Astyanax mexicanus: one gene and its partner. The protein of the gene in region 2 binds, or shares a complex with, the protein of the main gene of each other region. Links are inferred from orthologs where the notes say so. Each region holds a gene or a part of one and is shown on either strand. Other genes may lie near its edges.

Region 1 (10,694 bases), on a different chromosome or scaffold from region 2:
GAACAATCAAACAGTTCAGGCAAGAGATATATATTATAAAAAATGAAATATACTTCAATAACTATAATAATTCTCTTACCTGTTTTAGGATGGACGCTGAATGGACTTTTCAGTAAATGGTTGACTCCTTTGCTGACGTTGACATCCAGGCGTGGGTAACAGTACTGTAGCATGATCTCCTTATCAAAGTACTGACCGCCTTTCTTACTGGTGGCCTGCTCCATTAGAAACATGTATGACCAAGTATTTTTAAACATTTTAAACATTCCAGTTATGTACGCTGCATTTAGGCCTGTCACAATAATTCAATTATCAAACTATTGTACAAAAAATAACATTCCAGCCTTAAAATTTGAATATTCTTTTAATAATTAAAGGTGTTTCGCTTTTTAAAAGGGTGCAATTGCATTATTATGCAGTTATATTATCCTTATATCAGTGGCATAATATGATTTTACAAACAACAAATTACTCTGACAGGCTCATTTACCCTTTTCTGATGCACCAGGGTCTTCAGCCTCTCCCAGCGCTTTGTTGGATTTTTCTCACTCTGATAATGAAGCAGCAGATCCTTTCTGACATGTACATTTATAACGTTAAAGAAACAGCACCACATTAAGCCCTTAGGGTTTCTGAAGTATTATTTTCTCCCATATTTCAAGGTTGCTCTACAGTCAGTTTACTTGACAGTAAACAAAGCATAGTGAACAATGTACTACAACACCAGACTAGTTAGCAAGGGAACCATTCCAGACACAGCACAAAGGATATCTTCTGGCAGCAGGTTGAGTACTTTGTCTACGCCCTCCTTGCTGCTTAGCAGCTCCTGTCCCACAATGGCGTACTGAAGGAAGTAATGCTCCACCACTGAGAGAGACTGGCTGTTTAACAGAAAATGATACACATTAGAAGCAGAATCAAAAGTAAATAGACTATTTAGGTACATTTAAATGTATAAACACGTTTAAAGGATATTTTAAACGCTGGTTAACGCAAGATTTCAGAATATTGCCTGATGATGCAAATAGTAGAGAAGGCTAAAAAAAAAAAAAGCTTTTTTGAACAAATAATCGATTATGTTTGCATGCATATGCAGACTGAAAAACTAAAAGAAATCAGAATAAGAGAATACATGTTATGAATAGATTATTGTGAATGTAAATGTGCTCAATGGTTTGCACTGATGGCATCCATAGCCAGTAAGTGTTGGCATTCAGAAAAGCACTAGCACAAAAAGTATATATATAATAAGGTTATTGCCTTGCTAGAATAAACCAGTCTTTCTAACGAAAGTCTTCCTTTACCTGATGAAGGGATGAATTGGATCGGACAGCACAACTTTCTTCACTGTCTCCTCGCCACCCTAAACATATGCATGCAAAGTCAGTTTTTGGAACAATGTCCATTTTAAACAAATCCTTATCAATTCCAGAACTAAAGAAACCTCTTTAATAAAAATATTACTTCTAAACATCCATCAGGAAAAGTTAGAATAGATAAGAAATTTAATATTTAGCAACAACAGGGACAAAATATTGCAAATATACTGTAATAAGGTCATGTGGGTGCCAGCAAGCAAACATTTACTTTGTAAGTATTTATTTTGATTATTTACAACAAATTGAAAGTGTTTAACTAAAGATTTAGTGGAGCCAAACATGTATTAACTGTGTAGAAGAACTATGTTGGATTGGTACAGTTCTAAAATCTACTTGTTTTTAGCATATCCCAAGCTGCTGTAAAATGTGAACTAGTATATAGTCATTGTCCAATGAAAAACATGTTAATCTTAATTTTTGACAATTTTTAGTTTACTACTTAATTTGAACACACAAACTGTGCCTTACATTGTGTCAACATTTCTTTATGATTGGACCAAGAGAAATTCTCTAAAATGCCCTGACATAACATATTTTTACATTGACTTCCATTAAAAGTTAAGATGGTTTTATCTGCTTTTTTGGAGAAACATGTTTTTCATTGGACAGCAACAGTAAACATTACACAATCATTGACAAATTACAAGTACATGTTTTAACTGCAGTTTGTGTGGATCAATCTTTGACCCTTTGTGTTTCTGTATTCTATAAACACACATCTTGGGATGTATTATTCAACACATACTACCCTGCTTACTGTTTATGCTATAATTGATGTATAATTGATATGGTTTTAATGCTGAGATGTAAGTATTGTTTTTTTTTTTTTTTTTTTTTCTCACCTTGACTAAACTGAGGTACTCTGCCACAGCGGAACGAGCAGCAACTGAGAGCTTCCTGGCAGCTTCATCACACACCCAACAGTGAACGCCTCTCCTGCCAGAGTACACCCAGAGGAGGTGCTGGAAGCCAAAATCCTCTAATCCACAAAAACATAAAATATACATTGTGTAGAATTGTTTTTCCACGTCACAACTACAGAGACAGTTCTGCTTTACTTGTTGTATGGTATGAGAATGTGTGCAGTACATTAGATAGTAGTGTTTAGCCTATAAGACAAAGAAAAGACAACTTTTACCTCTCAGTGCTCGGTCTAGAATTCGAATGGCAATGGTCATCAGTGTCCAGCACTTACTGCAAATATCTGCAGCACTGAAAATAAAAGTAAATAAATTAAATACCATATAAACACACAGTAAAAGTTATAAAGAAAAAGGTTTTTCATATAAAATAGTAGGTAGGCTGAGGTACCTGCAGCAGCTTCTGACATCATCATAGTCAGTCATATCAATATCAAACACCAGCTCCTTTTCCAGGGCCTGAAACGTTCCAGATTTCACCGTGTTGTGTTGACTGGGCTGTCAGTCACAGAAACACACAGAGAGTAAGATAGAATAATTACACATGCTTAACAACAGGACATTGCACATAGTGAAAGAATCATTAAGTCTCCTCACCCTGTGGCTGTAGACAGCTCCGATGTCGATCTTGTAGGGGTTCATTTTCTGCATCTCTTTCTCCAGTTCGTTCTGTGTGCTGAAAGACTGGTATCTAACATAGATATCATCTTTCAGGGTGAACGAGAACTCACGGTTCTGGAAGTAGTTCTTGGTCACTGGTGAATAGAACATTCACAGTGTTAAGATATAAAGAATGAACTATTAGCTAGACGGGTTATGTAATATGGGATAAGCATGATACTTCTTTGATATTTCTTTCTATTAAATACGCTTATTCAAAGAATCTTAATATAGCATTACAAACGTACAAATAATGACCAAATATTTTGTGGACACCGCTTTGAATGAATTTAACTGCTTTGGCCTAAAAGAACCCAAGGTGACATATCACAGACCCTTTAAAAGGTGTGAAAAGTTTATTACAGAACTTTGTCCTAAATCATGAAGTCCCATAAAGTGACATCTACTAAACATCCTGAGAGAATCATTACAGGACAGTGTGTGAATCTGTGTTCGTTTAAGTGACCTTATTTACAGAATGTAGGTGTACTGGGTTAGTCCTTAAGATAAAAGCAGCTATTTATAAAAGTGTATGTTTTGCTTTTACTGATCTGTTCCAACAAGTTTAACAATTCAATTGCTTTAATTTTTTTTTTTTTATGTTCTATATGACTAGTTCTGATAAGATTTCAAGAACAAAATGTTAAAATACATGTTATGAAATTGCTGTTGTGTCATTTTTGTTACATCAAAATTTAACCCAAAAAAAACATTGTCATGTTCCCACAAAAAGACAAATACTCACTAATTTTATCTTACTCGGTTTTAAATTTGGCTTTAATATGAAAAAAAAAAAAAGACTGTTAATAGAATAAGCCTGTCTGATGCGAATAAACATAAACCTATTGGCACTATGTCGTAGATCTGTGTGCCCAGGCATGATGGTGCTCCATCCTGTACTTTTGGGATGAGGTGGAGTGGTGACCATCCACCATCCTGATCTCACTAAAGCTGCTGTCACTGGATGCAATCAACCATCAGAGCAATACTCTGAAATGTAGTAACGTTAGAAAGTTTCAAAGTAAAGAATGAAAGAAGGAGACCATTTAAAATTGTGAGTTTCTTTGATTTTACCGAATTGAAAACCTCTGAAGTATAATCAAGTGGAAGATGGATGATCACAAGCCATCAAACCAAGCTGAACTTCTTGAATTTTTGCACCAGGAGTGGCATAATGTTATCCAAAAGCAGTGTGTAAGACTGGTGGAGGAGAACATGCCAAGATGCATGAAACCTTGGATTAAAAACACAGGTTTATTCTACCAAATATTGATTTTTGAACTCTTAAAACTTGTTTTCTTTGCATTATTTGAGGTCTGAAAGCTCTGCACATTTTTTTTTTAATTCAGTCATTTCTCACTTTCTGAAAATAAAAATACAGAGAGACAATTTTACATTTGGGACCCAGCCTTTGTCTACACTGCTCAATGAACAACGAGATAAGAGTTTTGCAACAAAAAGCTGGGTTATTAAGAACAGACTTAATGAGCCAGTAGTTCACATTATAAAGTTAAAAGAGAGGAGCAGCTTTTTAGTTTCTGAACTTCACTTTCTTGCCTCTAAGCTGCAGCCAAAGAGTGTTTATGTTATATTTACAGCGTTGTTAGTTTAGGACTAGACACTACTCTTATTCGGCTTAGAAAGGCAGTCGGTCAGTTACTCTATCTAGTAAGTAGGTTAGTTTGCGTAAACTAGTTATCCTACTGGTGATCCTCACTGAGATTATATTAAATTATAAAGATTAATGTACTCACCACCTCCGTAGCTCAGCCACCGGTAATACTGTGAGAAGGGGAAGAGCCGGCGGTAATAGAGCGGCAGTAGATCAGGTAAACAGGCAGGATCATAGTCTGAGTTTGACATTATTATTATTTATATGTTAAAGCCGCTGTCACTGCTCTAGCTGTATCTGTAGTACACACTGCAAACCTGAATCCGAGCGCAGCGCGGGAAACCCGGGGAAATGACGAAGCGCCTCCCTCGCCTGTCCCGCCCGGAGTCCCGACCGCTTCAGCTCAGGAGGATCTGCTGCCCTCTGGAGTCCTGGCTGACATCAACAGCCATGTCTGAGTTTCTCTGCAGTTATTATAAAAGCTATGAACATATAACATTTCTATATAAAACAGGAGTATTAATTGGGTAAAAAAAATCTGACACAATAAAAAAAACTCTTGAAACGTTCTTGAAAGCTTTTGCTATTTATATTTTTTATTTTGTTCATACCAAATCAAAGACTTCATAAGTTTATTTAGTTTCTATTTATGAAACTATAATACTTAAATTATTTTATTCTTATTTTGTTACAGAGTAGCATATTCTTGAAATTAGTTTAATCATTGTCAGTGTTTTGTCATGTCACCAAATATATTTTCACAAAAATACCCTGAAATATTGTGATATAATCTTAGGGTCGTATCGCCCACCCCTAGTATAAATGATTTAATATCTAATGTAACCTGACAATAGCAGTGTGTGTACTAATCTTAATTTACAAAAGATGGTAGGTTAACTAAGCTAACTACCTAGGTTACCTAGTGTAAAATAGAGCCTTTTTTGTAAATAAATAATACAACACAGAGATAAGAAGAAGCTCTAAATAATCATAAATTAGCTGATTTACCCACTGTTTAGTTTTGTCAGATTTCTTTATTTGTTTTTGCTCCACAGTTCCTTGTACATTCAACTACGGGCATGAAGGGGAAATAACCTCAATAAATTAGTTGCAATCTTGTAAATAGTGGATCTTGTAAATACCCTGGACGATGTTCAATATATACAGAGTGATGATAAATGTTGAGATGCCTTAAGATGTGTGAGAGTGTCACACTTTGGTATTTTAAACAAGCTTTCAGTCTTTTCAAATTTTCTAATGTATGGTTGGATTAAATTGTGAGATTTTTTGTGATTATTTGTTGTGCAGGGCCATACTGGGACAGTGGTTCAGGGCAGAAATGCTGACAGCCCACACACATTCAGTCTGCCCCCCTATTAATTACCACCCAACAAACTTTTTTTTTTTTTTTTGCACACCACTGTAACCTTATTATGGACCCTAAGACGTGCAAGAGAAATGCTAATTTCTGTCACTCACTCCACATAAGTTCTCTACACTATATTGGCAAAAGTATTGGGACACTTGCACATTCACTGTTATTTAGCCTACACCAATTCATGTTAGTAAATATGATATTAAGTCATTTATTACTTTCGTATTATATTGGAGAATCCTTGGTCAACTCTTCAATGCTTTAACCTTCATATACATTTCCATGTACATAGTTTTGACCCTGGTAGCAAAGAACAGTGAATATACATTTATTGGTACCACTTTAAAATAAGACTACCTTTATAAAGGGTTTACAATTAGTATTATTATCAATGGTTACTAATAAGGTTGTAAATGCTTTAAAAAATCATTAATAATCAGTTATAACACATATGTCAGGGTTTCCCCCAGGATTTCCTTGAAGGTGCGGTGGCAGGACCCCCCGGTTGGGAACCGATAATTTATATCACGTTAATGATATCACGATATAACACAATTACACATGTTTCCAGTTATTTTCTTTATTTCCAACTGTCACTGAAAAATGCCCACTTAAAACAAAAAGTTGCAAAAAGTAGGTTTCTTTAAAATAAATCCTTATTGTTCTTTTTTCAGATACGGTAAACGTAAAAGTGTGCAACACAAAATGTTAAATTATACATAACAGAGGAGAAAGGGCACAACAGAATATATATGTATTATTTATTCGCTCTTATCTGTATTAGGTATTTTAAATGTGAGAATGAGTAAATAAAATAAAAAATATTATTGAATTTAATTAAAAATTGTGCTTATTAAAACAGACAAATAATATCTTTAATCTTTAATTTAATTACAATAAAATGTTTACTGGACCGTGAAAACAAATGCATCACAGAGCTGTTCTAGGGTGCCTCTATTCTAGGGCCCTACATCCTTGCTTTATGACAGCTCCAGAAACAGAAACATAGCGTGATTTTCACTCCACCAGGTGAGTGAGCCTGAGTGGACACCTGCGTAAGTTGAAGCTGTTTAATCACTGTTTAATTCATCTCTCTCTCGCGCGCGCGCATTATGTTTCAGTCTCTCTCTCTCTCTCTCTCTCTCTCTCTCTCTCTCTCTCTCTCTCTCTCTCTCTCTCTCTCTCTCTCGCATTATGTTTCAGTCTCTCTCTCTCTCTCTCTCTCTCTCTCTCTCTCGCATTATGTTTCAGTCTCTCTCTCTCGCTATTTACAGGCGCGCTCTCGCTCTCTTCTCTCTCTCTCTCTCGCGTTATGTTTCAGTCTCTCTCTCTCGCTGTGTCCTATACTCACACTCTCTCTACCGATTTCCACCCCCGAAGGGGCAACGCTGATCAAGCGCGGGAAAAACGCCGGGCTCCGAATTTTCACGAAGGGTGGCGGGGAAGAACGAAGGCGTGGCGGACCGCCGCACTGAAATGAACGTGGCGGAAACCCTGTATGTAGAAAGGGCAACAATGACCTGTTGTTTGTCAAATAGTAAACCCACATCCTTCTATAGTGTTGCCCTTTCTACGTATGTGCTATAACTGATTATTAATTATTTTTAAGGCATTTACAACCTAATTTGTAACCATTAATAAACTTATTGTAAACCAATTATAAACCCTTTATAAAGCTAGTCTTATTTTAAAGTGGTACCCATTTATTTTTTGGTTGCATTACATATTTTAAGGTTGATGATAGAGGGGTTTCTGCTTTTAGTTAAAAGGTGTCTCTCACACATAATAATCTTAATATTAATATTTATCATTTAAATGTCCCTTCTACATGGTATAGAAGAGAATGCAAACAAGATGCATTAGCCACAGAATTGGTAATCTGTAATATGGGTAATGTGGGTAATCTATATTTGCTTATTCAGACCTTTAGAGCTCCTATTACATGTACAATATACTTCAAGTCTATTAAAAATTATGACATACTTAAATCTACTTACGTTCGCAGAATATATACAAAAAAGCACTCAAAAGCACAACCTATTGTATTTTAATATATCTTAATTACCATTGAAATATACTGAAGCTGCCGTAAGTTCTTCCAAAATAGTACATTTAGTATGTATTTAAGTACGTATTCATTTTAATGCTAAAATATACTTTTACTATATACTTTTAGAAAATATACTTATATGCATTTTTCTTTAACAAGGATCTCTATTGTAAAAAAAAAAAAGGATTATCAGGCTTAAGTAATATATTGAGCTCCATGTATAAATAAAAGAGACTACGACAAACCAGTAGCAATGTTGCTGTTTCATGTGCAGCTCTGCATTTCAATCACTAGAGGTCAGAGTTTAGTAAAGAAAAGCCTCTCCTGGTCCTTTTTATGGCCTTCTCCTCTTTCTTCTGCCAACCTGCAGTGCAGTGGTTGTAGACACTGGAGTAGCATCAGTAGTGGGGATGTCTGTGACTCCCTGTGAGCAAGTCTCACTCTGTGTGTGTGGTGTGTGTGTTTGGAGAGATGAGTCATGCGTTTCCATAGGGATCATACATCGCTAGCTTTTCTCACATCGCCTCCCTCCCATTGCTCTACACTGATGAGGAGACCTGTGTGTAAACTATGCTCACAAACACTGTGATCTCTCTGTTGTCCTCCTTTTTACAAAGTAATTGTGGTGTTAAAAATCTGACTAACTGCAGTGTCTGTTTCGAGACCTCTAGTACATTTAATAACCTTTAAGCTATCACACTGTTCACTTTCCAAAAAAATCATTCTATAGCATTGGTTATCTCTTTAAGGCTAAACTACACACAGATTGTACACACAGATCCTGCACACTGGTAGGTTGCTGGAATGAATCTGGTTCCATAAATGCTTGATGAAGGCAATAACTGTCGTATTTTTCGCACTATAAGGCGCACCAGATTATAACCCACACTATCAATAAATGTCTATTTTTATAATAAATAATAAATGTCTCTTTTAATACATAAGGCGCATTAAATTATAAGGCTAATTCAGCAGGTGGCGAGACCTGTAAAGCTAAGTTTAGTTAAGTAAACAAAACTGTATTTCTTAAAAAAAATAACAATTTCAGACGAGACAAGTCAACGAGCACTGGTTGTTAATCTACACAGATTTCTCTCTTAAAAACTGTTTATTTGGGTGAGTTAAACACTTCCGTTTATTTACAGTAAGCTTAGATTCACAGATTTCCACTAAAGCTAAAGCATTAGCATTATCGGCTAACCACTAGCGGTTAGCAGCTAATGCTACCCAACAGCGCTACACTGAGGAACCCTGAGTGTTCCGATAAGCCAGGGCGATATTTGCTTATTTATTTGTCCCACATTGCCTGTTTTAACACGGTAAACGTGCAGGCTACAGTCTAATATAACATTACTCACCTCTGAACAGGTAAAAGAACTAGCGCTGTGATGAGCCGCTAATGCTAATGTGCTGCTTCAGCAGTGCTAGCCGGGGTTAGCAGCAGGCTACAAACCGATAATACTCACCTCTGAACGGCCAAATCAGCTAATGCTAATATTGCTGTAGAACTAAACTGAAACTCTTTTATAACGCTGTACTTTAGCGGATTATCTTTACTGCTGCTTTCAACCTGACTGGTAAATTTCATGCATAAGGTGAACTGATGATTTTTGGGAAAATTAAAGGATTTTAAGTGCGCCTTATAGTGCAAAAATTACGCTAAGCTATATGGAGGCAACCGGGCAGGCCAAGGAAGTGTCGCTATATGGAGGAGGCATTATTGTAAAGCCCTTGCTGTGTGTGGGTGAGCATTATCCTGATGAACAATGCCAGTTTGATATATCTGGCTGCAAAATTACGTGCTCATTTCACTGAGCTGTTAGTGTTTCTTGTATCACTACTAGGGGTGTCCCACTGTCAGATATATAGTAATATAACTATGTCAAATGTAATAAAGCACGCTCTGGAATTTAATAATATTATAAAAATGAAAATGACATGCGTACATACAAATTTACATTAGTTAGTAGAGAACTGGGTTATTGATGACAGGGTTAAAGGTAATAAACACTGCCTTCCCACAGAAAAAAAATCCACAAGTTCTATCTGTTTTTGAGCCTTGTCACATTTCCACCCCTTAACAAACACTACTGTTTACGATCAATGTTTTTACTTTACTACATATATATAGTGGTAGTAATGTCATGGCTGATCAGTGCATGTTGTCTATTTCACAGTTAGCAGCATTCAATAGTGTGTTTGTTAGTAAAATGTATAAATGATCAAAAACAGGGATTTTATAAATATGAAATGTTCTTTTTGGTCTACACTCCCATGTTTTGCATAACAATCTAACAATTTTTGATTGATTTGTTTTGAGAGACATGTGTGACCAGTTATCAGTTGGGACCCTTTGACACTAGTTACGGTGGCCGAGAAAGCCCAGCGCAGTGCAAATTGAAAAGCGCTGCAAAAGCACAAAACACATCCATCAAAATTACAACACAGGCGCAGCAAATAGAAAAACGCGCTGCAAAAAGAAAAACATGTTGCAAATAGAAAAACGAGCTGCAAATACAACCACAACACAAACGGAAGTGAGTCACAACACAACAGAATTTTCCCGGGGGACCTTAAAAGGACCTTAAAAATTTCATTCACATATTGCTCTAAAAGTCTTAACACATGATTACAAATAGGGATCAATATTTTTCATTCATATTTTCTTTCTCATATATGTTTTAGAGCATATGAACCG
Region 2 (11,235 bases):
CAACGCGGCCTCCCACTTCTTTTTCTACTCTGGTTAGAGCCTGTTTGTGCTGTCCTCTGAAGGGAGTAGTACACACCGTTGTAGGAAATCTTCAATTTCTTAGCAATTTCTCGCATGGAATAGCCTTCATTTCTAAGAACAAGAATAGACTGTCGAGTTTCAGATGAAAGTTCTCTTTTTCTGGCCATTTTGAGCGTTTAATTGACCCCACAAATGTGATGCTCCAGAAACACAATCTGCTCAAAGGAAGGTCAGTTTTGTAGCTTCTGTAATGAGCTAGACTGTTTTCAGGTGTGTGAACATGATTGCACAAGGGTTTTCTAATCATCAATTAGCCTTCTGAGCCAATGAGCAAACACATTGTACCATTAGAACACTGGAGTGATAGTTGCTGGAAATGGGCCTCTATACACCTATGTAGATATTGCACCAAAACCAGACATTTGCAACTAGAATAGTCATTTACCACATTAGCAATGTACAGAGTGTATTTGTTTAAAGTTAGGACTAGTTTAAAGTTATCTTCATTGAAAAGTACAGTGCTTTTCCTTCAAAAATAAGGACGTTTCAATGTGACCCCAAACTTTTGAACGGTAGTGTGTATATATATATATATATATATATATATATATATATATATATATATATATATATATATATATATATATATATATATATATAAACAAATAATTTCTAAAAGGATATGCATGTTTTACAAAACAAAAAGAATAGAAAGTCAGAAGAGAGATTATATTGAACAGTAAAACAAGGAACTTACTGCGAGAGCTTTGGAAAGTCTTGTGCGGAAGTCATTCAGAACAATTGTGACAATATCCTGGTGGGGAATGTAGGCATAACCACCTCTCAGGAAGACTTTCCTCGTCCGTATTAAATCCAAGGCATCTTGGAAAGGGACCTGCATCAATGTACAATATAAAATGATTGGCAGTCTTTGTCAATATTGTGGCTCTGCTTAAATTGCATATACATATACTACATAATAAACAGAAGTGTTGTGTATTAAAACCCTGTTGGATAGAACGCAAAGGGTACAGGGGAGAGGCAGTGAAAGTGTGCAAACAAGTAGTTTAAGTTTATTTTTACACATTCTATTAAATCACGTATGCTTGGTATCAGTTTAAACAAACACTGTTTTTAATAGTAACATTAGCTAAGCTACCAAAGGTTGTTTATTTTTGTGTAAATTCCATTCACATGGGACTTGATTAGTAATGCTAAGGTAAATGTATAACTAAAACTACACTGTTGTGATAAATGTGTGACTAGCACTGCTGAAATTAATTCATAATTAGAACTGCACTAAGAGACAAAAGTACTGTTGGTATGTCTACTGGGATATTTTCAATAGTAAGAAAAATGTCAAAATGAAAACCTGTGAAATCTTTCAGCCAAATGTTTTCAAATATTTCAAGTATTTTCATTTTTTTTTCATTTAAAGCAAATCAGTAACTCTGTATCTCAGAAACAGACTAAACTGCTTGATTACTGTAAGATGGAAAGAATCTGAATTTTGGTCTTACCTTGTAGAAATCCTGCTCCACAATAGTGATTCCACTAAAACCAAAAGTGGAGTTTATGAGCTGATCTTTCAGATTCATCTTTTCATCCGCACTTAACTGTCAAAGGGAGAGAATGCAAGCAACTTACAAACATAGATCAACATAACAGAAAGCAAACATCAGAGTACAAGCACAAAAAATGACCGAGAAGAACACATGCTATAACATATTGCAATAACAAATGATTATTGGTTGTTGCCATAATAAGCACCATAAATACATGTAAAATTAGCGACTGCTCATGGACCTCATGAATTAAAGGATGACCACATTGTTAACATGTAGAATATCGATATCCAAGCTTTGAGGAAATATTATTATTGCTAGTTCACCAAGTTTACAAAAACTCTGATATTTAGCCAATAAAATATAGACTAAGAGAATAATAAAGTATTTCCATGGTCCCCCCTAAAGCGCTTTAGCTTTAATACACCATATTTATGGGCATTTAAAACCCCCTACAGACATAATAAAGTCAGCCTCCTCATGAAAACAGCAGGTGCCATTTATCCATCAGTGAGCATTTAGCTCCACCTGCTGTTCAAACACACACATGCTTTTTCTTTACAGCACAATATTCTTAAAATCAGGTCTGAGGGCCTGTGTATTAAGTGTGTTTATCAGGTTAGATTCGTCACAGGAACAAATAATAAAGATTATCACAGCTTTCAAAATCAAACCTAAAATTAGCTAATACCTGATGAACTGTTCAATCAAGCACAAAATAAAATGCTTACCGTGTCATATTTCAGATTATTTTTATGCAGAAACTCAGTCTTATACTTGGAGCTGAGGTCATTGAAACGGTGGCGAAAAAGGTCCATTTCCTGCTGGATAAACCACCGTCTGAGATCCTCCCTAAAAAAAAGGTTAGTTTAGTTTCTTTCGGTTTTTCAAAAAAAAAATAAATAAATAAATAAAATAAAGGAACTGGATTTGTGTTGGTTTTATATGCATTTGTCCACATCTCCACTATAAAAACAGTGCACTACATCGTACATTTAGATTCAAAATATGTTTAGTATTGCAATGGTTTTGCAATAGCAATGGGATTGCAAATAGTATTGCAATCTCTACAATCTCTTGTCCCTCTTAGTTTATCTTAATTGGATGAAGGACAGGACAAAAATCTAGATATAATATTAATAGAATTTGTGACAATTTTTTGAAAAGGTCACACAAAAGGGCAAAATAACTTAAAACCTGGGGGGGGGGGGGGCACATTTGGGGCACTACGCATCCCTACAATTCAGTTATATTATTTTTACTGTGATTTAAAGATATATATTTATTATATATTTTATTTCTATATATTTTAGTTTCTATTTCTGCATATATCTTATGTGTTTAAGTTGTTCAACATCTCTGCCTTAGTTCATGTGAAGTGGCAGCTATCAAATGATTTAAGTGGCAATTCAGAATGACCAAAGTGTTAAACATAGGATGGAAACAGAAATACTGAATGAAGCATTAAGATTAAGACCCAAGTACAAGTACCTTTATGGAAAGAAAGAAAAAGGGGGGAACAAGGGGAACACTTACGTTTGGCAATATGCCAGGCGCAGAATAAAATGAGAGATGTGGTCTTTCCTTCGCTTCTCATATTCAGATGGTCCAACCTGACTTTTGGTAAAACTTGCCTCATCCTAATATAGAGAAACAGTGAACTTTAAACAACTACCATTACAACAGGGTAACAAGTTCAGTAAAATGAATAACAAATCAAATATAAACATTTTGCCACTGCAGCAAAGCAAGACCTAAAGATTAAGCTACTCCAGAGTACAAACAATATCAGGTAACATTTCTCAAAAGTAAATCTATCCAAAGCCAATTTTTTCCTTGTCTAAAAGACAACCATTGTAAGCAGATTTAATAGCTTTTAAATCACAGTGTGAGGAACCTTTATGTATCAGCTAAATCTAAATGCTAAAAGTGAAAAATAGAACATTTCCTTACCACTTCTGCTTTGTGTGGGAAATTAAGGTTTGAGATTTCAGCGTGAAGTTTCTTGGTGTACTGCTCCGTTGTTTTCACATAGCTGACACCAAGGTTCTCCACAGTCTTCAACACTTTAGATGGGAAAATAAAAAAAATAATTAGACAAAACAAATGTAGGACATGGACAATGAGAAGCGATGACCAGGAGCTGTGGTCTCGACTTACATTTCAGCCTCTCCACTGCAAAGGTCTCAAACTCGCTGAGGGATATGTTCTCCAGAGGAGGCTGCACATACAGCTGCAGACAGTGGCTGTAGAGATCATTCTGAGAGTGAACTGCAAGCTTCCTCCTTCTGCCTGAGAACTGCATGGTCTCTTTCTGAGCAAAGAAAAACAGCCCATTTTATTTTCACTAGTTTTAACATCTGATGCCTTCTGCTAGGTAACTGTCAATTAGAAAGTATCTGTACACTTTATGAACACCTTATTCATTAATTTCTTTCAAAATCAAGGCTGGTGTGGGCAGATAGCTGGACAGTATTAGGTGTGTGTTTAAAGTAACTGTTAGTTCACATGTTTGGCTGCTTTCTTAAAAATTTAGCATATCCCATAAGACCTCAGACCCAGCTCTGAATACTAACCCAAAATGTAAAACAAGTTAAATTAATTGTTGCTCCAGTACCCTTTAAAACATGATTAAACCATGTCATAACCTACATTTTAACATTTTGTCCTAGAAATGGTGTCAGAATGTGTCATATGGGAAGAAAACAGTTCAATAAAAATAAAAATCCATATCGTGATATCGCAATGTTATTGAAAGAAGTCCATTTTGTTTCTTCTGCATATTTTTGCTCTTTACTGTACACTTTTAATAGCTTGTTCGCAGTTTATACTCATGCACTACATAACTACAAGTCATTTATACTAAACAAACTCTTAATATGTTGTTACATCACAATTTCAGCCTTAAAAAACGTAGTAATGTGCCCTTAAATCTTAAGTCACCCTGAAGTCACTGTTAACCCATATTTTAACCACATAATGTAGCTCTTTATATCAGCTAACCTACACAAACAGGCGACTCATTCAAAGCTAACTATCTAAGCTGGTAGTTACTTAATTAGTTAGTTAGCTGGCTGGCTAGCCGAGCTATACAGCCAATAATACCAGTAAACGCTAGTTTAAAGCTAGTTATCTAGGTTAGAGTTACCCGCTAGCTAACCTTAGGTTAGCTGGTTACCGTATCCGAGCTACAATAAGCGCCAGTTACACAACACAGCTTTAAACAGCCTACTAGCGCTTCTCCCCAAGTGTAAAATAGTCCTCACAGTAAACACTGCTCCCGCGGCGCCGTTAAAGTCTTTAAAACGGTTAAAAACATTACCTTTACTTTACAATAACAAACAGCCCGCCGCCGAGTCTCTTCCTGTCGCGCGAGTCCCGCCAACAGCCTGATCCGAACTAACGGCGCGAAAATGACGCGAGAGCCACAACGCACCAATCAGAGCAGCGCTCGAGCCGCCCCGCTCCGCTGCACTGAAATGAAACAGCGGCGCCATGTGTTCAAACCCTGCAGTGCAGCAGAGAGAGAGGAACCAGAACTGTGTTGACAATGGTTCACTCTTTACCTCAAGTTAACTCAGGTTATTCCATCAAGATGACAATGCCAGGGCTGAAATTGTGAAAGAGTGCTTTAGGGAGCATGAGATCATCATTTTCACACATTGATTGTTCACCACCAGAGTCCAGACCTTAAACCTAGTCAGAATCTTTAGGATGTGCTGGAGAAGACTCTACCATCATCAATGCTGCAAGATCTTGGTGAAAAATTAATGCAACTCTGGATTGAAATAAATTTTATGACATTGCAGAAGCTAAACTTTATGATTTCAGAAACAACCGTGTGAACTTGAAAAGGCTGAAAGATCCAACCAAGCAGAACTTGGTTCCAGAACTCTGTGTTACTTTCTGTCCCAATTTTATTTTACACTTTATTTTATACGTTGTAACTTTTCTTTGGATTTATATTTTATATTTTTATATCTATTTGCTAATGTAACATGGTCAGATTTAAGTCAATATCAGGCCAACAAATGCCCCCCATCAGCATCAGGCCAGGAAAAGCCCACCAGAAAAAAAGTATATTGGCCTTCTTACTGGTCAATTTGATATTTGTCCACTAGAGGACAGCAGCGGTTTTTCCTTTTATATAAATAAACTGAAAACACGCAGATACTTTTAATATTAATTAGATTTTATGGTGATTTGCAAAATATATATAGTAATCATTTAACCAGATCATTTCAGGCTTATTTTGGCATTTAAACATCTGGCGTATAAAGCATATTCCGCAGGTAATTACATGCATAAATAATATATGTAATTAAAAACATTAATAAAAACTGAGAAACACTGAGAAAATAGCATTTTTTACCTGTCCTCACTCCCTAACTATAAACTTAAAATCCTTCAGAGGCTCCAAATCCCATTCCATCCCATGTTTTAATATATGTATATTAACAAGACCTAATTAAGCTCGCTCATTAGTTTTTTTTTTGTATATTTAATCTTATTGTAACTAGGACTATGACTAATCTCAACACTGCCCTGTTACCTAAATTAATTATTAGATTTTAATGGTTTATATTTAAAATACAGATTTTGGGAAAATCAGTAGAATGTGCTCATTGTTTTAATGGCCGCCATTTAGCTTTCTTTATGTTTTTGATAATTCTATGCTAAAAACTCATTTCCGATACTTTAAAAGTGACAGGAATGAGTGCTAGTAACAGGAGTGAGTTCCAGTAACAGGAATGAGTATTGTACCGTGGTTTATTCCCAGATAGCCAGCGACTTTGGCCCGGACTCGTTTCTAAGTCGGCACTGCTGGTTTAGAGTCGCAAGCAGAAAAATACTTCTGGCCCACAGCTGGCCCAGTGTCACTTTCTGACTGTTCTACATCAGTGTCACTGAGCAGTCGTTTTGGTGCTGGTGAAGGACTGACGCACCTGACCTGTTGATTATCTGAACACAGGTGTGTACTGGCTCAAATACGGCAGACGACCCTGTACCAGCACTGTTATAGTACACACACACGCACACGCACACGCACACGCACACACACACAGCCTGTTATAGTACTGCTTCACACACACACACACACACACACACACACGCACGCACGCGCACACACACACACACCCAGAGAGTCTAATTCTATTGGCCACATTTTTCTACATGGACTGGATAAGCTGTGTGTGTGATCACGTTTAGAGTGATCTAGGTGATTTTAGGCTTGTTCGAGATGCGGCTGCGCCTCGCCTTGCTGGTCAGCGAGAGCAGCCGCGTGCAGGTGGGCGGGGTGGAGGAGCGGAGAAGTCAGGTCGGACAGTCTCCACCTGCAGCCCACGTGAACAACACAGGATCTCGCGATGAATGCGCTGTTTGTTTACTTCTGGTGTGAATAAAATCGCAAAAGTGAAACAGAGATAACATGAGTGTTATTAAATTGAGATAAAAACTTGTTATAAATATTCACAAAACATACTGTCATGTTACAGATGTATTGTGTAGTACTAAATTAATAATGGGATTAAATTTTTATTTGCAGACCAGCTTTTCTGTCCTTTGTTCTTGGAAATAAATACATCATGCTCATTTACACAGCTTTAATTGTTTAGCGCATTTCACAACACAAAAACAATATGTGGAGTGTCCAAATAAGTGAGCAGTGTTTTTAATAATAAACCATATTTTATATGCGTTTATAAAAACTGAAGTAAATAAGTGCTTATGTGCAGCGGTCAGGACGGGTTAAAAAAAATCATTAATTTAGTTGCCAATCAGAAGCTAGAGCTTTAGTTGGAGTAGCCAATCAGAAGCTAGAGTTTAGCTTGTTAAGGCGGAGCTAAAATATAGCTTGAGAAGAGCGCGAGAGGGACAGAGACGGTTACGACTTCCTGGGCGGGCTGGAGGGAGGAGAGATGGACGGAAGTGACGCAGGAGAGGGGAGTGAGTCGGACTGGTTAGGGAGTAGGAGCGGGAATTGGGGTGGTGGAGGACCGTGGCAAACTGTTCAGAAAAAAAAAGGTAGGCGTCTGTCAGATGATAGAGAATCAGCTGGAAATGAGAATGGTGCTGAGCAGGTTAAGCGTCGGAAGGAGGAGTATTTGGTGCTTATAAAATTTGATACTGACTCTGGGACTCCGCTAAATCCAATTAGATTGACTACTGAGTTAAAGAAAGCTTTAGGTGACCTGGCTGGAGCTAAGGTTCTGAGGGGGGGGCAGATTCTGATTACCTGTAAGGATGACCGGCAACGAGACAAAGCCTTGAAACTTAAGAGCTTGGGAGGTAGGAAGATTACGACAAGTTTGTTTAGGGAGAGGACGAGGATGAGAGGAGTAATAACTGGAGTTCCACTTGATTTAACAATGGAGCAGATTAAGAAAACCCTGACTGGTGGTAATGTGATTGAAGCTGTCAGATTAAAGGGGTTCAGAGATGGAGCACAGTCAGAAAGCTTGTCGGTAATGATTCAGTTCGAAGGAAATTCTTTACCGGCGAGAGTATTTCTGGGATACATTAGCTTCCCGGTGAGGATATATGTCCCTCCACCGGTGAGATGCTATAATTGCCAGAGGTATGGGCATATAGCCTCTGTGTGTAGGTCACGAAAGAGATGTGGGGTTTGTGGCGGTGAACACGAATATGGGCAATGTGGAGAGGGTGTTAAGCCTAAGTGCTGTAATTGCGGAGGAGATCACAAGGCAGCGTATGGGGGCTGTGAACAGAAGAAGAAGGCTATGGAAGTCCAGAATGTTAGAGCTGTAAGGGGGTTGTCGTATGCTGAAGCGTTGAAAGAAGTGGAAAAGGGAAGAAGTATGGAGTCGAGTCCCCCGAGTCAGGTTCTAAGGACAGCAGACCGTGATAGATCAGCTATGAACCGGCAGGCCCGCAGTGTTAATACACCAGACATGATGATTGTTGAAAAGGCAAAGTTCATTATGTTTATAGCAGAAGTAGTTAATTGTACGGCCCAGACAGGTAGTAGAACTGAAAAAATTAAGATCATTGTTCGATCTGCAGAACGTTATTTGGATATTAGGGGTTTGACTTGGGAGTCAGTCAGTGAGGGCCTGGCTGGGAAAGTAGTTTCCTCCCAGCTAGGTGATGACTAGTGATGGTTTGGTGATTTTACAGTGGAATGCTAGGAGTCTTATTGCTAATGGACAGGAGTTTAAGCATTATGTGGCTCATAGTCAACCGGTGCCTGATGTGATCTGTATACAGGAAACGTGGCTGAAACCCCACTTAAGTTTTACACTTTGTGGATATACTATGGTGCGGAGGGATAGGGCTCATAGTAATGGAGGAGGTGTAGCGATCTTTTTAAAGGAAGGAATAGTATTCCGATCTCTCCCTATTAGTGGGAATCACGAATCTCTTATGGTGGAGATATGGAGCAAATGTGGAAAGTTCACATTGGTGAATTTTTATAATCCATGCGAGAAAATCACTGTGGAGATGTTAAATAGAATTACTGGTTTGGGATATCGTAAAGTGGTGTGGTGTGGAGATTTTAATGCACATAACACATTGTGGGGCAGCTCATTCACAGATAGTAATGGCCAGGTGTTGGAGGATTTTATGATGGACAATGGTCTTGTATGTCTAAATGATGGTAGTGGTACAAGGTTGAATATAGTAAATAATACAATGTCAGTTTTGGACTTGACTTTTTCTTCTGCTGCTTTAGCAGGGATGAGCAGTTGGGGTGTATGTCAGTCTACGTCTATAGGTAGTGATCATTTTCCTGTTGTCTGTGTTTTTGGTATGGAGGTAAACAGAATGAGGGGGGAATTTTTGAGAAGGTGGAATTTTGATAAAGCAAATTGGGAGAAGTTTTCTGAACTTTGTGATCTGAGGCTACAGAATTTGACAGTTTCTGGAGATGTTGATGAATGTAATAAAAAATTGTGTGATATTTTATATAGTACTGCTGAAGAAGCTATTCCGATTAAAAAGCCTCATCAGAAGAAAAAGGCAGTTCCTTGGTGGACGGAGGAATGCTCTAAGGTAGTGAAAATACGCAATAGAGCACTCCAAAAGGTACGGAAAACTTTACTGTTTAGTGATTTGCTGGATTACAGAAGGGCGCAGGCAGTAGTTCGAAGAACAGTTAAAGTAACAAAGAGAGCCTACTGGAGGTCATTTTGTAGTATGATCGGGCCTGACATACATGTGGGGGATGTATGGCACATGATTAAAAAAATGAAAGGAATAAGGAAAGGGACTCTAATACCTGTGTTGCAAGATGGGGGCAAGGAGGCAGTTACTGACACTGAAAAGGCAGAGATGTTAGCCCAGGAGTTTACCAAAGTGCACAGCTCCGCTAACTTAAGTGAAACTATGCTACTGTGCAGGAAGAGAATTCGGCTGCAGAATCCTGGGGCATTGTGTCGGAGAGAAGTATTTGGCAGTGTTTTGGACTCTGCGTTTTCTTTAAGAGAATTAAAGGTGGCTATTGACAAATCTGGTCAGACATCTCCGGGAAAGGATGACATATGTTATGATATGTTTAGACATTTATCAGACTCTTCCCTTTCTGTAATTCTTGAATTTTATAACAATCTGTGGATGCTGGGTAAAATTCCCTCGGCATGGAAATTGGCGGTAGTGGTACCTATTGGCAAACCTGGCAAGGACCTCTCTAGTCCCACAGGATATAGGCCCATCTCTCTTACATCGCATTTGAGCAAGTTGATGGAGCGTATGGTAACTGACAGACTCACTTTCCATCTTGAGAGCCGACGTAGTTTAGCATATTATCAGAGTGGCTTTCGTCAAGGAAGGATGACCATGGATCCTGTATTATGTTTAGAATCAGATGTACGAAAAGCACAATTGTACAAAGAAGTGGTGGTGGCTGTGTTTTTAGACATTGAAAAAGCTTATGACATGCTGTGGACAGAGGGTTTAATGATAAAATTGGGTAAGATAGGAATTGGGGGAAGGGTGTATAATTGGGTATTAGATTTTTTGAGTGAAAGGGCGATACAGATAAGGGTGGGAAATGCATTGTCTAAAGTCTATCGCATAGAAAATGGAACTCCTCAGGGTAGCGTTTGTAGCCCTCTGTTGTTCAACGTCATGATAAATGACATTTTTTCATCTGTGGGCGCAGGAATTGCAAAATCTCTTTATGCAGATGATGGGGCTCTGTGGAAAAGGGGTAGAAATCTCCCTTTTGTTTTGAAACAGATGCAGGAGGCATTAATGAGGGTGGAGTGCTGGGCTAATGATTGGGGTTTTAAGCTGTCTGTGTCAAAAACACAGGCTATGTGTTTTTCCAACCGGAAAAAATCTACTTCTTTGGGTCTACGCTTATATGATTTGGAGATAGAGGAAGTTAAGGTAGTCAGATTTTTAGGTATGTGGATGGACACTAAACTGACATGGAAAACTCATATCAGTAAAATAATGGACAAATGTAAAAGTGCTCTTAATGTTCTTAAATGCCTATCTGGATGTGACTGGGGGGCTGACCGATCATCACTCCTTTATATGTACAGAGCACTGATGAGATCAGTTTTTGATTATGGTTGTGTGGCGTATAGGTCTGCATCTACAAACACTCTTAAAAAACTGGACCTGATTCAAGCTCAGGCATTAAGATTATGCAGTGGAGCAGTGAAATCGTCCCCTGTGG

The links. Proteins that work in one complex are often made in the same cells at the same time.
Region 1: the proteins of prim2 (region 2) and prim1 are in contact, whole or in part, in a crystal structure (PDB 5EXR), measured with the Homo sapiens proteins. The link is inferred for Astyanax mexicanus from reciprocal best matches to the Homo sapiens genes PRIM2 and PRIM1. Residues at the interface, in NP_000938.2 of Homo sapiens: Glu165, Ala168, Ser169, Pro171, Ser172, Phe188, Ala189, Leu192, Phe195, Arg196, Gly197, Arg198, Val200, Tyr201, Leu202, Glu203, Asp204, Gly205, Phe206; in NP_000937.1 of Homo sapiens: Lys147, Glu148, Asp149, Phe150, Gly151, Phe152, Ala180, Val181, Gly184, Ile185, Glu187, Tyr188, Ser190, Leu191, Lys193, Lys207, Ile208, His209, Pro210, Ile212, Arg213.

What each region holds. Positions count from the first base shown.
Region 1 is NC_064420.1:33,009,422-33,020,115, reverse strand, and holds the start of prim1 (DNA primase small subunit), read right to left. Parts: upstream 4,949-10,694; 5' UTR 4,823-4,948; coding exon 4,714-4,822; intron 3,055-4,713; coding exon 2,897-3,054; intron 2,798-2,896; coding exon 2,691-2,797; intron 2,592-2,690; coding exon 2,518-2,591; intron 2,359-2,517; coding exon 2,222-2,358; intron 1,364-2,221; coding exon 1,305-1,363; intron 882-1,304; coding exon 772-881; intron 583-771; coding exon 491-582; intron 216-490; coding exon 80-215; intron 1-79. UniProt on the Homo sapiens protein: Catalytic subunit of the DNA primase complex and component of the DNA polymerase alpha complex (also known as the alpha DNA polymerase-primase complex - primosome/replisome) which play an essential role in the initiation of DNA synthesis.
Region 2 is NC_064414.1:43,402,074-43,413,308, forward strand, and holds the start of prim2 (DNA primase large subunit), read right to left. Parts: upstream 4,993-11,235; 5' UTR 4,909-4,992; intron 4,873-4,908; exon of another isoform or gene 4,853-4,872; intron 3,901-4,852; 5' UTR 3,892-3,900; coding exon 3,747-3,891; intron 3,653-3,746; coding exon 3,540-3,652; intron 3,227-3,539; coding exon 3,123-3,226; intron 2,439-3,122; coding exon 2,318-2,438; intron 1,638-2,317; coding exon 1,542-1,637; intron 917-1,541; coding exon 779-916; intron 1-778. UniProt on the Homo sapiens protein: Regulatory subunit of the DNA primase complex and component of the DNA polymerase alpha complex (also known as the alpha DNA polymerase-primase complex) which play an essential role in the initiation of DNA synthesis.